Linked DNA regions of Yarrowia lipolytica. The protein of the gene in region 1 interacts with the protein of each later gene in a pairwise test. Links are inferred from orthologs where the notes say so. Each region holds a gene or a part of one and is shown on either strand. Other genes may lie near its edges. The genes, in order: YALI1_F11553g and YALI1_D03990g.

What was found.
Region 2: the proteins of YALI1_F11553g (region 1) and YALI1_D03990g interact in a two-hybrid assay, tested with the Schizosaccharomyces pombe proteins (3 studies listed by BioGRID). The link is inferred for Yarrowia lipolytica from reciprocal best matches to the Schizosaccharomyces pombe genes cdc7 and spg1.

Annotation. Positions count from the first base shown.
Region 1 is NC_090775.1:1,151,304-1,160,358, reverse strand, and holds YALI1_F11553g (uncharacterized protein), read left to right. Parts: upstream 1-4,434; coding exon 4,435-4,491; intron 4,492-5,058; coding exon 5,059-8,382; downstream 8,383-9,055. Other genes in the region: YALI1_F11583g (uncharacterized protein), read left to right, coding at 2,045-2,803. UniProt on the Schizosaccharomyces pombe protein: Protein kinase essential for cell division. Plays a key role in initiation of septum formation and cytokinesis.
Region 2 is NC_090773.1:395,676-403,892, forward strand, and holds YALI1_D03990g (uncharacterized protein), read left to right. Parts: upstream 1-3,398; coding exon 3,399-4,023; intron 4,024-4,079; coding exon 4,080-4,261; downstream 4,262-8,217. Other genes in the region: YALI1_D03987g (uncharacterized protein), read right to left, coding at 2,631-3,113; YALI1_D04017g (uncharacterized protein), read left to right, coding at 6,088-6,194, 6,240-6,454, 6,502-6,785; YALI1_D04030g (uncharacterized protein), read right to left, coding at 6,894-7,412. UniProt on the Schizosaccharomyces pombe protein: GTP-binding protein essential for the induction of septum formation at G2 and pre-START stages of mitosis. Acts via the cdc7 protein kinase pathway.

The DNA.
Region 1 (9,055 bases):
ATACTTGAACGGGAATTGGAGGTAGAGAGCTAAATTCGACATTTTCCTCCCCGACCCTGTATATCTTGCTACTTGCTACTACTACAGCACTTGTATAACTCTCTCCCAATGGACTCTCTTCTTCCTCTTTCTTCCAACTGACATATCTCCGTGGAGTTCGTAGGCACGTGGGCCAAGGTTTAGATAGCTTGTCAAAACAGACAGTTGTGGCATGTATCAGGGGTTCGGGAATAGTGCCGTTACTGGAATTGTGATTAACGATACCTAACAAGATCGATCTCATCTTTCCCTTCATTTGAGGGGCGTCAATTGAGGGGTATGTTGTTATTACGGTTGGTCTGGTGATAAACTGCACATCAGATTATCACCAAACCAGCCGAATAGGCAATAGAAAACAGTTTTGACATGGTAAGCGGATCTAAACTGGCATGCTTGTGGAACGCATTCCTACGAGGAGTTCCACGGAGCGTTTTTCGAGTAAGGAGGGCTCCGAGGTGGGCTTTTGGGGGTAACTTTTTTCTCGTATGTATCCCCAAGTAAATATCTAATTATAACTGAGTATTTACTTGGTTAAATACGCGGGAGGTGAAAGAGCCATCTGTGTACCACGGGAGAATGGAGCCAGCTGTGGGGTTGCCGAATTGAGTAATACTCGTAAGAAATAGATTCTCGCATAGCTTCTTAACAGTTTTATTGGTCCTCCAAAGTGATCTTCTGGCGCAAGATGAGTATGTACATACAGTAGTATTTCGATATCCCAGGACAGTTAAAACAGACCAAGTGAGATCAGCACGTGACATACTTGTAGCTCATATTATTTGTACAGATAATTGTGGCAGAATCAACTACATTTTGCATCTCTTGTATAGTAACCGTAGATAGACCACACAGGACGATGCGTCCAATCCGGAACATACTCCAAACGGTGAAACAAAAGTCCCCTGGCTGGAAGGTATAAGAACTGTCAAGCTTGGTGAGATTGGGACGCGATATAACCGAAAATCGTTACATATACCTTCTCTGTTTCTTTTATAACCCCTTCAAGATGTTCAAGATAGCAGGGAATATCATATTTCCAAAGTCAACTAATTGTTAACTAAATTCTCTTATGGCAGTGCCGTGTTCGGTCTTATCCAGTCCCATCAGGTCTCTAGCCACCATAACTATCGTAACATGCTACAATTGTAGCTTGGAGTACCTGTAATGTACCAGTACATACTGTAGGTACCCGTACTTGTACATTGGATCTCTTCAGAAGTACATTTGAGACATCAGCAACCTCGAAACTCCAATTGGCGTCTCCAGACAGTTTTTCACCTCAACTAGTCACCCACTAAAGTCGTCAACCCAAGCCGATTAGATACCTTGGCAAGATCTGGGAAGTAGCTGGCAGATGCCAGAAGGATGATAATGTCTTTCAACACCCCGTCCCCACGAGTCTACTACAATCTCCTATTGTTCTCGAACGGTCCATTGACTGACTCTAGATCCTACTGCACACTCAATGCCTCTCAGCTCTACATGAATAGAAGTCGCACCTATTAGCACCCTTGACACCTATAGCAATCTGCCAAACTCCTTTCAGATCACAATTCCAACTCTCCAAACCAAATACATCTTGTGCAAGTGCGAGTACACAACGAATATCGTACATCTAAGACATATTTGTCGGTCGATTCAATCTTGCTCCGCCGTCGGCCCTGCATAATCCCACCTCCGTATTGTAGGTTAAAGAACAGCGCCAGTATATGGGGGGGGGGGGGGGGGGGGGGGTATTGTAGACACGTGTTTGGAAGGGGTGATCGGGAGGGTTAGTCATCAGAAGAACCACTCCAACATGGAATTTTCAAAACCACCAATATTTCAAACCCGGCAAAAATATCCCTGTCTTCCAATATTACAACAAAACATTGTCTTCGCCCATCCAGTGCAATTGCGCCATTGCTGCGCATGCAGTGAATTCAGAAGCCAATTGAGTTGCCGTAGCGTATAACTATTTGCTGCGACGCAAACCATACACTTCCTCTACATCCACACACACAACATGTCTTTCCGACTCGCCACTTACCTGCGAACCGCCAAGTCTCTGCGACCGGCCACTCTGCCCGCCGGCGCCCGATTCTACTCCTTCAAGGCCGAGGACCAACCTCGAATCCGAATCGGCTCTACCGCCCCCAACTTCTCTGCCCAGACCACCGGAGGAGATATTGACTTCCACAACTTCATTGGCGACAAGTGGACCGTGCTGTTCTCTCACCCCGCGGACTTCACCCCCGTGTGTACCACCGAGCTCGGCGCCTTTGCTGCTCTCAAGGACGAGTTCACAAAGCGAAACGCCCAGCTGATTGCTCTGTCTGCCGACGACCTGCAGTCCCACAAGGACTGGGTCCAGGACATTGAGGACACCTCCACCTCCGGCAAGGCCTTCGACTTCCCCATTATCGCCGACCCCGAGCGAAAGGTCGCCTTCCTTTACGACATGGTCGACCAGCAGGGCTTTGAGAACATCAACAAGGGCATTGCCTTCACCATCCGATCCGTCTTCATCATCGACCCCAACAAGAAGGTGCGACTCTTCATCACCTACCCCGCTTCCACCGGCCGAAACTCGTCCGAGATTCTGCGAGTCCTCGACTCTCTGCAGCTCAACGACGCCACTGGCCTCGTCACCCCCATTGACTGGGAGGCCGGCAAGGACGTCATCATTCCTCCTTCCGTCAAGAACGAGGATGCCAAGAAGAAGTACGGCGACTTCAAGGAGCTCAAGCCCTACCTCCGATTCACCAAGGACCCTGTTAACTAAATTGGCGGCTAGCCCGACGATATTTGAATGAATTATAACACTGCACGCGTGTACAGTATGTACCTACGTAGAATGGGCGTACACCTCAGACACAGGCAGGTGTGTCTGTACTGTAGGTAGTATAGTGATAACCTCAAATTAAGCAACAGCAGTATGGAAAACGAGCAACCAAGCAAAAAAATAGCTGGAGCAAGAAGGATATAAATCGTTGCTCGATCAAAAAAAGGAATCTCCGATACCGGGAATCGAACCCGGGTTCTCCGCGTGAAAAGCGGAAGTGATAACCCCTACACTATATCGGAAAGCTAAAATGTAAGGACCAAGTCGCTTACTAAGGGCTTGGGATGGTGCCGGTCACGAATCACTAGAATAAAAAAAAAAAACGTGCATGTGTGACTGTGGCTCCCAACTGGGACCCACCCGGAGGATGGTAGTATAAGAAGGACATTTATGTATGATTAATAAGACAAGTTATCACCAGCCTGTGAACGTATTACAGACAGCGAGCAACGGTTAGGTTAGACAGCGACAATCTACCGACTGAGAACTATTCCGCAGATAAGAGACGATCGGATCTTACATAAAAAAAGTCAAATTTCGGCTGTTGACATATCGCGTCTGGATCACATGATCTTAAATAACTTTAAATTTGTGAATTTTTCAAAAATGGGAGATAATGAAATAAAAGGGGCTGTAGAGGGGTATAAAAGTGAATAGAAACATTTTGAAGTGCTCTAAGAAGCATGTCAGAATTACTTGATATGCCAAAGGCAACAATTTCCAGGAAATATAGCCCAAAAGGACGTTTAGGGGCAGTGCTGGACTACACGTCCTTATACTAGACTTGTACGAGACACACTCAGTTAACAGACATATAAAGAGAGAAGTGTGCATTTTGTAGTCTTTCGGATCACTTGGAATGTCTCCTTAGGTGGTCTCATGCCCGTATATACCCGTATATTTCCCGAACAAGGGCTGTTCTAAGAATAGATATTATGAGCTCTAGCATCATCTAAGCACAGTGCGTAGAGTTAGCGTTCCAGCAAACGTATCCAACAGGTTATGAGTGAGGAATCTGGCCGTCGTGCTATCAATCTATATCACTATTCTGCCTCTCATGTCCATCTCATTGCTGATCAGGGATTGGTATAAGTACTGTAGTAGAGTTTTCCATGTGTCCCAATTGGGCTAATATGCGTCCATTTCTGGATGGTGTAATGTAGGGAGATTAAAGGGGGTGATACGGAGTGTTCCTGATCGGCGAAGTGGATGTTTTTTTGGTTGATTATTTAGCGGCGAAGGAAAACAGGGTCACGTGACAAACTCCTTGGCAATCACGATCGCTGGCGGCCCCAAAATACTACCCCTCCTGGCCATCGCGAAACCGCTCCCAACTGTAAATTCACGCGTCTTTTGTAAACAACTTTAACTGGCTTGGTGCAGCAGCAGTAAACGTCTAACGGTCAGACCTACAGTAGTACACTTCAAGATACACAGCTCCTTTCTACCGACCCGTGATGGTTCCCTCGACTCCCTCACGGCGTCCCCAGCGCCCCAGGGGTGCCCCACAACACCTGCGTCACTCGTCGAGCTCATCCAGTTCGTCGAGTGGCAGTACGAGAGACAGAGACATGGTCAGCGCTACGCCAGCCCAGAAGGTCAATGGCAAGGAGCCGATGAATAATTATGTGAGTGCGAATCGAGTTGTTTGGAGCCAAGCAGCTGGTGGCAAAAGTCGACTGAGCAGGATAAGTTGACTTGGTAAGGTCAGATGTTCAGGGCATGAGAGAACATGCGAGAGGTTCAGCAACATAGGGGGTGTGCCAGGTATGGCAGGATGATATGGCAACGGTGGAGGGATAAGTCGGATGTGGGGGTCATACGAATCAACTACTGGTTTCATTTGTGTGCTATTTTGTTCAATTTGTCGTTCTATTATGAAAAGACATCCACAACTTTCCACCGGTTTATGATCGTACGCAGCCCCTTGTCACTGCTGTTGACACAAATGCCAGCTTTGAAACTCATTCCTAGTACTATCTCTATACAGCAACTGGCTTCATTGTGGTGGTTGTTTCAACTGTGGTTAGGCTGAATGGTAGCTCCATGTTCCTTCTGCTCCATATCCCCGTACTGATGCGTACGCCGACACGCACTCCTCTCTTTCGCTGACCCTTCCTTCACCATTACCAACACACATCAATGCACATGTGCTGTATGGCCTAGTACTCGTCTGTTCGTTCGTGCTAACACAGACCCTCGGAGACTGCCTCGGCAAAGGCGCCTATGCGTCCGTCTACCGTGCTCTCAACTGGAACACCGGCGAAGCTGTCGCCGTCAAACGGATCAAGCTCTCGGACGTGCCTAAAAAAGGTGACGTCGACACCATCATGATGGAAATTGACCTGCTCAAAAACCTCAACCATCCAAACATCGTCAAGTATCACGGCTTTGTCAAGACCCAGGATACCCTCAACATCATCTTAGAGTACTGCGAAAACGGCTCATTACACTCCATCTGCCGCAAGTTTGGCAAGTTCCCCGAAAACCTCGTGGCTGTCTACATGTACCAGGTGCTCAAGGGTCTGGCATACTTGCACGAGCAGGGAGTGATTCATAGAGATATCAAGGGTGCCAATATTTTGACCACTAAAGATGGAAACTCGAAGCTGGCTGATTTTGGAGTCGCAACAACAACCATACTCGCTACCGGATCTGTGGAAAACGGAGTGGCAGGTACACCCAACTGGATGGCCCCTGAGATCATTGAGCTCAATGGTGCTACCACAGCCTCGGATATCTGGTCTGTGGGATGTACTGTGATTGAGCTGCTCACAGGCAAACCCCCCTACCACAACCTAGGCCAAATGCCAGCCATGTTTGCTATTGTCAACGACGATCATCCTGCATTTCCAGAAGGAGCGTCTCCTGCAGCTCTCGACTTTCTCGGACAGTGTTTCCAAAAAGACCCCAATCTGCGAGTGACGGCCAAAAAGCTGCTGCGACATCCGTGGTTAGCTGAAGCGAGGACCGATAGCGAACGCAAACACGTCAGTGGGCCTCCCAAGCGATATGATGAGGTTGTAAAATCCGTGGAGCAGTTCAATCAAGCAGTCGAAGAGACTCCACGAACACCCCATCGTACTCAGGACGACATTTACGCTTCAATTCGCAAGTTTTCGCGCCAAAAACAGAACGAGATCACGTCCTCGGGCCATATCGAGAGTTGGGACGACGAGTTTGTGGGCGAGCTAAACCCCCGATCTCCACATATCATAATTACCAAGCGAGAAATCACTCCTCCAGGTTCTTCAACTTCTTCCAAACCAATTCCCTCCATCACCAGTGCCTTGAACAAGGCTTCTAGAGGCAGTGTCTCCAATAAACTGCCGAGCATCAGCAAAGCCACGCGCCTAGATCCAAAGACCCCTGTGCATTCAAGAATTCCGATTGAGAACTCGCCTTTTCGGGACGTGGAGGATGACGATGCGTTTGCGGACGGCTTCAATGTGGCCGATATTTCCACAGACGACCTGAAAAAGAGGTTTAACAGCAGACAAAAGCCTACTGCCGCAGAGGACAAGTCTACAGATTACGCCACGATCAAGCTGAAGCAGTTCTGTGAGGAGGGAGAGGATGAAGATGACTATACCAGTATGCTTGGAGATATGGTAGATTTGACAGTAGGTGCTACTCCCAAGTCACAAAATGCGTACCCGGCGTCGTTTTCGTCTTCGGACAAATCCCATCATTCGGACGACGAAGATCCATTTGCTGCTCTTGAGAATGAAACGAGATTCTCTCCAGAAGACATTGAACAGAACATTGCACGTGATAAGCTTGCTACGGCGATGCGCACGGCTGAGCAGCATGTTGGAAGACTCAACAGGGTGCAACTGACGACTTCCGAAGTCCAGGATATTGTCCCTTCTCTTATTGACCTGTTGCAGCAGCATCCTGAGACAAAGAAGACAGTGGTCAAGTGTCACATAGTACTGCCTTTGCTGGAGCTTCTGGAGCGGTTTCAGACCAACGAGGCGGTTGTTTGCGGTGTCCTATGCATTTTGGTGCTTCTTATTGATGATGATGAAGCTGTTCTTGAGAGCTTGTGTTTCTCAGGAGGTATCCCAATCGTCACAATGTTTTCTACCACTCGATACCAGTCTGAAACTCGTATTCAGAGTGTAGCCATTGTTGATAGACTCTGCAGAGGCTCCAAACTGGCTCTCCAGATGTTTGTTTCTTGTGGAGGTCTCAACATGCTGTCGCAGTTGATTGAGGAGGACTTTGGTTTGCATCGTGAGTTTGTATTTGTGGGAATCTACGGCGTGGCCAAGGTGTTCGAGGTGCAGGGGAGCGGTATGCGAAACGACTTTTGTCGAATCCTTTCCCGTTCTTTCATTCTCGACTCTCTGGTGGCTATTCTGAGACAGCTGGTAGACGACTATGAACCCGATGAGTACCCCACAGACACCTCTGGATACTCGGACACGGACTACATCAACAAGATTATGAGCATTCTGACCATATTCTCGCAGACAGAGCCTCATGTCAAAGAGACTATTGCTTCTCGAGCTGTGTTCAAGGGGCTCTTCAAGTGCTACAAACGTCTACCGACACATCACCGAGTCACCATGCTCAAGTTCATCAAGAGTGTTAGTGCCGTTCACACCGCCCTTGAGACCATGCAAAACTCCAACGTCATTGAGTACCTTGTGGACTGTCTCAAGGACTGCACCAATATGGCCAACCAGCATTCCCGAGACCTGTCAATCCAGATCTACCACACTCTCTTCAATCTGTGTCGATTATCCCCTCACAGACAAGACGAGGCTGCCGAGTGTGGGGCTGCCCCATATCTTCAGGCAGCAGCTCTTTCTTCTTTGCCCGTCAAGGACTTTGCTCTTCCTCTTTTGTGTGACATGGCTCACTCTTCCAAGGCAACTCGCAAGATTCTGTGGCGCCACGATGTGCTCACAACATATCTGCGTCTACTTCCGGACCCTTACTACCAGGTCAACGCCATGGATTCTATCATTGTGTGGTTCGACGATGAAACAGCTCGTGTGGAGGAACGTCTAATTCGAAACACCTCTCTCGACCTCATCACTCACTCCTTCTCGAACAACTCCAGATCCACGGCCTTTGAGCAGTACATGGACCTGTTCCACAAGTTGTTGCGGCTGAGTCAGCGTGTCGCTGTGGCTCTCACTGGGCCTATTCTGATCGGTTTCCTGTCGTCCAAGCTGGAATCCAGCAAGCCTAGAATCCGGCTGACAGTGCTCAAGATCATCAGAACCCTCGTTGAAGCTAACGGAGACGATTACAGCTTCCTGGAGAAGCACGATTTGGCCAAGCAAATCGCTTACCTTGCAGCAAACGAGAAGTCTGTTCTCGCTAGAGGTCTAGCCAAGGAAATGGCTGAGGGCAAGAAGACGAAGTCACGAGATACAATTACAGACATGCCTGCTCCACCAGTCAAGAGATACGATCCTATTCCCACTCCGAGCAAGAGAGTGGCTTCGGATTATAGACCGGCGGTGAAGCATCAGGTGGGAAACAGTAGCTCGTTTCTCTAGGAAAGCTTTCGAGGACATTGTCCACGAAGAGGGACGCCACCATCTCATTTACAATACGATACCATACCAAACAATACACAAGACTCTGTCTTATTTATCATATAACATTAATGCATTGACAACATACAACTGCCTGTATCGATGCCTATGATACAACATATCACAATTGAAATATCGTAGGAGTCTCTCCCCACACTCAACAAAGGTCGCGATGGTAAATATATATTTTAATATGCGTTTGAGAGGCAAGTGTGATGCATATCATCCGTTGTTGGCGTGTGATACGAGCTAATAAGAAGTGGATTGAAGATGTGTGTAGAGATATAGAGTCTTGTCAAGATTGAAAAGTGTCTTACCTCCATAGATCATCCTTGACTTGTGTGCCAATTAATGTCTCTAGGTCGATAAAAATCCCACGTAACATTAAATCGTCTTTCTCTCGGTGAGACATTCCTGCATAAGCGAGAACCTTACTACCTTTCGGTTGTGTTGAAAATCATCCCCCTCCTCCTAAGGATACTGAAGAGTTGACATGTCCAAGCATCTCGGAACAGATACATGATGTACTGTATTCTTACAAGTACTCGGACTTTTATATCTTCAGTGAGAGTCTCACTAAAACCTACATTACTCAAACTGTGTGTAAAACGCTGTCTTGGTTCTTGAGTAAGCA
Region 2 (8,217 bases), on another chromosome or scaffold:
GGATGCCGATGTAGGGGCCGATGGGAACGGCGAGGCAGCAGCGGTGACGAGCGGTGACGAGCGGTGACGAGCGGTGAGACAGAAGCATTGAGTCATGGAGCTGGGTGGAGATGGGGTACAAGATAGGTGGTGGTGACTCACTGTACATCTGGTACTACTGTATTACGTACTACAGGTACAGTAGTATGGTTAGATCAATTGCTCTGTCTGCTGGAGTTGGCTGGTGTCTGATTGTCACGGGATTGTTAATACATCCAAGAGTTGAAGATTCCGTCATTTTTCAGCGACGTCGTTGATGAGGTTGATGGCGTTCAACCACTTGTAATCTCGGCCGGAGTACAACATGGTCCACTCATAACCACTCAATTCGAGCTCTACATCTAGCCGTCCACTCGCTACCACACTCTCTCACTAAACTCACTACACCCACTCCATCATCTTACCCCACAATTCTCTCGCCTCCAGACAGACTAACAAAGACCATTATTACACTTTTAATAGACCGGAGGTGAATGAACAGCCCCGTCGGAGGGTTAGTTTAGCGACACGCCAGTGTCTTAGATCCGATCTGGGCCAAGATGGATGCCAGAGTCCAACAGATCCGGACTTGGGGACAGTCTTGTAGGCGACTTTCGTACAGGCTTCAAGGAGGAGACTCCCAGTACAGTACTACAAGTAGTCGTAGTATAAGAGTGTCTGTGCTGCCACTTTCAAGTTTCATACAACTGTACCTGTTAATCTTTCCCCATAGCTGATGAGCCTCTGTTTCTTATAGACCTACCCACTGTCGTAATCCCTGGATCCCGTACTATATGACAGTCAGTAGGTATACTGTACTTCAACGTCCCCCGGACCTCCATTGTTCCCTGAGGCTCGGTGATATCGACACTCCGAAAGCTACCGATATCGCTTCTCGACAGCGACATTGTCACCACTCCAATCAACTCCGCTCCCGCTCCTCTCGCTTCCCCATATCTCGCGCCCACAGGGCCGGCATAGAACACATTAGGTTTCAACAACCGTTGGTTCGAAGGCAATATCTCGGTCAATAGTTGGTATAATTCAAAGCGGACTTTACCATTGGACTCCTTGAGCTTCCCTCGTTCTTTCTCTACCCTCGGATCCGATTACTTACTAAAATTCACCCTGCTATTCACATTCCTCGCTCCTCCCCCCCCCACATATGCACTCACACTCTAAGCTCCTCGGACGCACCGAAACCGATGACGGTCATAGCCGTGTGACCGGCCACAGCGAATTAGGTCCAGAGTGCATGAATACTGCCGGAGTTGAGCATCTCACTGAGCGTGACTCTTTGCGTGAAAATTTTAGACTTTGGTGAAAAATATAAACTCCACGCCGATATCGCTCAGGCACTCAACCCCCGCCCGATCACACGCAAGGGACTCTTTGTGGAGCGACAACGGCGTCTTTAGCCGATTTTGGGGGAGCACGTGCCGCAGCAAACCTCCGTGCGACATCGTCGGTGTCGCCCAGAAGACCATGTACCTGATCAGAAGAGCTCCAGATCAGACCCAAACCTCACATAGCCTTGCTCTGCGTGTCACATGCCTCGGCCCACGGTGCATGATTCAGGCCGCAATTGGTGGGGAAAGTGAGATAACAGCTCGGGCTTTTGATTGGTGCATTAGTCACGAGAGGTGGATGATTAGTCAGGAGACTCCAGTTGGTTGTGGTCCGGTTTCCTAAGTGTGCAAATGTATATTTCTCGCAATTTAGTTGGGGAGATACTAGACTCACACTTAGCACTGAACACTTTTCTCCTGGAACTTTTTTCGGGACTCCGCCTCCTACAAAACCAATATATGCACGGTGCAGATCACAATCAAACCCCGCAGAGCGCTGGCGAGCTCGTGCATGACGGGAAATGACCAGTTGGTGGTGTTCTCTCTGATGCCATATGTTTCTGGTGTCATATGTCGCTGGTACGATCTACCAATACTTGTGCAGTATGTACTGTACATACTGGAAAAGATGTTGCTGGTATAAGACAGTCCAAGACCCCAAAGCTGTCAATTGTGGACGGTAGAAGAGAAATATAAGTACAAGAACGGTACTTGTAGAGAGATTATAAGTCTTCTAAAGAGATGATCAGATCAGACATGAAAATCTCCAGTCTTGAAAAATCGTGCTAATTGTGGTTTAAATGTGTAGAAGCAAGAATCGAACCTGTGCGAGTACAGATGTACTGTAGTGGGCGTGAATCTAGGCGACGATCGATACTGTACATCTTCAACTCATTCTCCTACACTCGACAAAAATATTCACGTGATCAGTGTCGCGAGAATCGTATATTCACGTGATTCAGAGCACTCGTACTCGTATCGATAGTATCGCCGTTCCTAATGTCACGTGACAACAGTCGATTCTGTCGTGACCCTCAATTAGGAGTACCTCCTTGTAAAAGACCGACCTCATGTGGATCAGATTGTGTCCGCGACTTTCCCGTCTATCACGTGACTTTCGTTTTAAAACGTGACTTTCCGGCGTATCACGTGACTTTCCGGCGTATCACGTGTCACACTCCCCTTACTTGTAGAGGCCCTACAGTTTGTAGCTGAGTAATACGATACTCGTATGTACCAAACTGTATAGCTCAACCAGATCCTCTACCAACCCCCCCCCCAGGTCTGGTCACGTGAATAGTCACGTGTCCAGCCATTCCCATGCGTCATTATGGGGGTTCTCTCGAATATTGAAGGAAAAAAATATCGCCGATATTGCACAAAATATATAAACAGAGATTGCCCGGTTGTATGTACAGATTTGTACAGTCTAAATTGGTGACATATGTCAAAACTCTGAGACCGGGATAATGGCCAAAAATGGCATGAAATCAGGCAAAAAAGCGCAAAAGGTCTTGTGAACCGCCAAACCACGGCCTCTAGACCACATTGATGTCTTCTTCTCATCACCACCACGTCACAATGCACTGACAACGGTAAATGCGCGTTTTCAGCCTCATTTATGAAAAGTAAACTATTTACAAAACAAATAATACCATTGTATCCCTCAAAGAACAGCGATTCCAATGGCACCAATTTAACCACCATCCAACGTCTTTTGGGGCTACACTGGTGAATATTTGACATACCCCTAGATGGGATTTTTTAGGTTGGCCACAACAAGTGTCATAGCAACGGGTCACGTGGGAGCAACGGACGTGTTTGCGGTCGGATTTACGCGCCGAAAATGGTCACGTGAGAGACAATTGCACCACAAGTCACGTTCACCTTCCATGTCTACTCCAGCGCCCACAGTTGCCGATTTACGGGAATTCCGCTCAAACCCTAATCCAACCTACACCGTATCAAAACACAACTCCACCACCATCACGAACCCCACAGCACTAACAATATCCAGACTTATTTGCAACCATGGAACAAGAGAAAACGGTGCCTGTGGACATGAATGTGCCACACAAGAACAGTGTGTCGCTGAAAATTGGGCTCATTGGAGACGCGCAAATCGGCAAAACGTCGCTGATGGTCAAGTATGCCGAGGGAAATTTTGACGAGGACTACGTGCAGACTTTGGGGGTGAACTTCATGGAAAAAACGGTGTCGATACGAGATACGGAGATTACGTTTCTGATTTGGGATCTGGGTGGCCAGCGGGAGTTTGTCAACATGCTTCCGCTGGTGTCCAACGACTCTGTGGCGATTCTGTTCATGTTTGATCTCACGCGAAAATCGACTCTCAACAGCGTCAAGGAGTGGTACCGGCAGGCTCGGGGGTTCAACAAGACGGCGATTCCGTTTCTGGTGGGCACCAAGTACGATCTGTTTGTGCAGTTACCCAAGGAGGACCAGGAGGAAATCACCCAGCAGGCCAAGAAGTTTGCCAAGGCCATGAAGGCGTCGCTCATTTTCTGCTCCACGTCGCATTCCATCAACGTGCAAAAGATTTTCAAAATCGTGCTGTCCAAGGCGTTTGACCTGAAGCTGACGATTCCGGAAATTACCAACACTGGCGAGCCCATTTTGGTGTACCAAGGTGTTGGTCAGTAATTATTTATAGCGAGCAGGCGCAACCTGTGAGCCAGACAGGAGGATGAGCCGAGGAGGGGTGGATGGGCCGAGGAGGATGGGTAGAGCGAACCAAGCAGGAGGACGACCAGACAGGAGGAAAACCAGGTCGGAGGATGAGCCGAATTGGCAGGAAGGCACAACAGACCCGAGCACGCCCGAACACGCCCGAACAGACTCAGCCTAGCTCAGCCTGTCAAGTGGACATCTGAACAGTAGAAATGAAGCATTGACTTGGAGTGATGTGTAGGTTGAGATGTACCAGGGTGCCTGGTAGGTAATGTAGATGTAAACAGTCTAGATTCTCTATCGAACATCTGGATGATCTGGATGATCTGGATGATCTGGATGATCTGGATGACCTGATTGAATCTGACTATGATTCTTTCTCTGCTGGGTGGACATTTTGTCGGTCTTCTACTTCAGGTTTTCATCGATACACACGGAAAAGCAGCTACAAGTAGAAGTAGGGACACGAAGAAGCGATAGAGACCGACCGGCAGGTTTTTCATACTGGGGTGTTACTACAGTATGTACAGTAATTAAAGAGCTCTTCATGTAGAAGACCAGAATCGGTCCTATTGATGATCAAATATCTCAATAGAGCAGAAATTTGAAGTGCTCGATACCGTAGAATTGCCTAAGGTGTTTATATATGGTCCACAGCACAATGCTACAAGAACAGGACAGGTCCATATGAAATCATTGGAGGGATATTTTTGCAATTATCAAAGTATTAGATAAGTTTTTGAGAGTAAATAAAAGAAAAACCATCTTCGACGCCTCCGCTAATCTTGCAAAACATCTTTATAATTTTTTTAATAACATATTTATATTTCCAAGTATGTTAACTTGGTAAGTTTGTTGGGTTTAGTTGGAATGACAGGTTCATATAATGGTCTCATTTCAAGAGGTTGTAGTTGTAGTGACAATAAGACTGAAATAACGACAGATTAGTACTATAAAATGGGTGAAATGGGACAGATTGTACATTCTTTTATCGCAACTTTTAGTGGAAAGTGTGTTGGAAAGGATGTAAAGTTACTCCAAAAACGGTCACCCATATTTGACAGATACCGAAGTTTGAGTGGGCACATGGCTGAATGAGGTCGGCCGCGACATCTCCATTTTGTATATTAAGTAAGTATTTTTCTGGCATAATACTGATAATGAGATGTATTTTATAATAAAACATTCTCAGATTTCTCTTATCCATCCTATGACATCGGTTACAACAATATCTCGTTTTGGTTTTATCTTGGTTTAATCTCTCAATCATAGTTGAGAACCTAGTTGGAATTAGTTAGCCTGAAACAACAGGACACAGCTCGTCTCATCGTCCACATTTATTTGAAATAAACGCTTAGAGATACACAATTGTTTCTATTGAAGATCTCTGTGATATTCCCATCTTCTAATATCCATCGCTGTCTATTTTGTAGACACTTGTTACTTGACGTTACTGTTTTGTACTGTAGTAAATCCTCAACTGTCTAGACACCTTAAACTACAAGTAGACCCACCACCTGAACACACTTTTCCTCCTTCACACCACTTTTTCAACGGCACAGACACCAACAAAGCGGCAGATGCAATCATGTTTCGTCTCCAATTCGCTGTTGGTGTTTGTGTTGGAGTGGAGTGGTGGCTATAGGTGGCGATCTCCAAGTGGAGGAGCTGCGGTTGTGAACACGGCAAATGGCAGAACAGAGATACACAGATGGACTGACCCAATTGGTGTTAGTATCAACGATAACCCTCGATTGTCCTGCTTCTACCCCATCAAAGTGGACTTGGCGACTTCAGAACGCGATCTCGACTGTTCCTTGTATATCTCGAGACGATCTCACTGAGTTCTGTCGGTTAGGTTCTACTGATGGACTGCTTCACAGAACACTGATACGGATAGGGATGTTTGGGCAACTACTCATTCGCACACCCATGTGCCAAGTCAGAACACAGGGTTCTTCTGCCGCCACGAAGAACTCAAGTTAACACTGCTGTTGCGTCACGAGACGTTGTGTCGAGAACCTGTGGTATGAGTCCTTTGACAAGCCAGGGTGGCATCATGACTGAAGGGTACAGGAGTCGAGTGTTCAGTGTGCTCTACGTAAGGTTCTTATCTACAAGTCGTCATCACAGGATGTTTTTCTGAGGTACAATAGAGCACAGGGGCACACCAGAGTTCAGGGAGCACTCCAGAAATCAGAGCACACAGTCCCTACGATTCACATTGCCTACGACAGACATTGCTCGCCACAGACGCGGTCTACAGCGGACACTGCCTACGATACAACTGACACTGCCTACAACAGACAATGTGGCGCACAAGTTTACTGGAAAGATCCCATTGTTCCAGCCCCAGTATTATGCGCCGTTTGAAGACTGCGTCGACAAATCGGGCTGTGTGCATTACTGTCCGAAAAGTCTCGCGGGCCAACGTCGCGGCCAGATCGTGTTTGTTGCCATAGCTACAGCTGTACCTCAGTCTCAGCTCTGCTAGAACCAGTCCACCAGCCTCACTACGATACGAGTCGAAGGTATATCAGCCTTACCTATTACCCTGAGTCAGGGGTAATAATAAAAGAGAGCGTGCTACTGGATCTCGCAGTATTCTGGGTCTCCTATGAAACCACTGCACCCCTTGCAGGAGGAGGAGCTATACGAGGCGGTTTAGGCGCAGCAAGATGGGGTGGTGTCTCGTTTCAGGTTGATGAGTTGGGATGTCAGAATTAGTTGAGAATTACTTGGGACGAACTTCAGCAACTCGAAGACTTTTCCAGACCTCCAAGATAGTCTTACAACTGCGAGTGCAATACACAGCAAGTCTTTCCCGGAATGACGTCATCTACTCACTCTCCCCACTCCCCCCACTCCTACGAGTACTCTCCTCACTCGTGTTACGCGTGTTATTTTTAACCATCTGTCTTTTCTTGCTTCCTCCCGTGCACGATCGTCGGTAAAAAAAAACGGCTCCGGTGCATTCTTTTGGCCCGTTTCTGTGACTATTTTTGGCCCGTTGAAGTGAGATGACGTGTGTGGACTCAGAATATGCATGCGTTTGAAAAGATGACGTTCAAAGTGCCTCCTATCTGTCCCCCGAGCACCCCCGTGACAAGAGCCAGGTTGATACACGCTAATATGATGACCTCCATCTCCACACGGGCTAAAAATAGCCCACATACGAGATGCGTGGAATAAGCGAGCAGGGTAGGGGTTCGAACCTACAGTACAGTGGTGTCTCTTTTTGGGAAGTATGTAAACGGGAGAGAGTTGGTAGAGTTGGGTTCTATTAGTCTGTGGTGAGCTGAGAGAGATTGTGTTATGATATAGCCGTGGTGTATACACAACCGTAATGGCCATGGGATGGGGGTGTTTGAAAGGGGAGGCTTTTGTGTCTCAGAATTTTCGTATTTTGCCCAAAAGGCCCCCCAAACAGCCCCAAAATGGGTGTCGGCGCGCTATGCCTCATCTCTCTTTTCTCCAACTATAGGCTAACGCCGGCCAAGACAAATACGATCGGTTCACGTGTATAGGGGTTTGAGGGGAGCCAGTTGGTTGCGATGGTTTCGAGATGGTTGCAAGGTGGTTGCGGGAAATGGCAGATTTGGGAGGCGCGATGGGGATATGAGGCCACGTGGCTACCATGGGACAGCCGCCAAATTTGGAAGTACAGAGAATCTCAAAGCTCCTCTTTTTCTCTCTCAAATTGTTTGGCTGCTCTGTGGATGTGGCATCTGGTATTAACGGCACGCGCGTACAAGGTTATCCAGGAGAAGGGAGGAGTATAGAGAGAGAGTGGGAGGGGAGGCAAGAAGAGGGTGAGTCGAAAAGGACTCTTTAGGGGGTAAAAGTGGGTGGAAAAGGTGTCAGGAGAAAGATACGGGCTCCAACATGGGTCTGAGGCCCTTTTCCCGGCCAAAATCGACCATATTTGCGCCGTCGTCGGATTGTGCATTCCACTTCTACTTTTAGCAACAAGGTGCACGTCAGAGTTTCACATCCAACTCAAATCTCCAACCGTGCATATAAACATGTGGCTTAATATAATACCGTGGGAAAAAGCTGAGGAGAGACAAGCTACAAGTTCCTGGTTACAAGTTCCACACGGTTGCACTGCTAGACGACGAAAAATCCCTGCCAAGCACAGATAAAGACGACTTTTCCA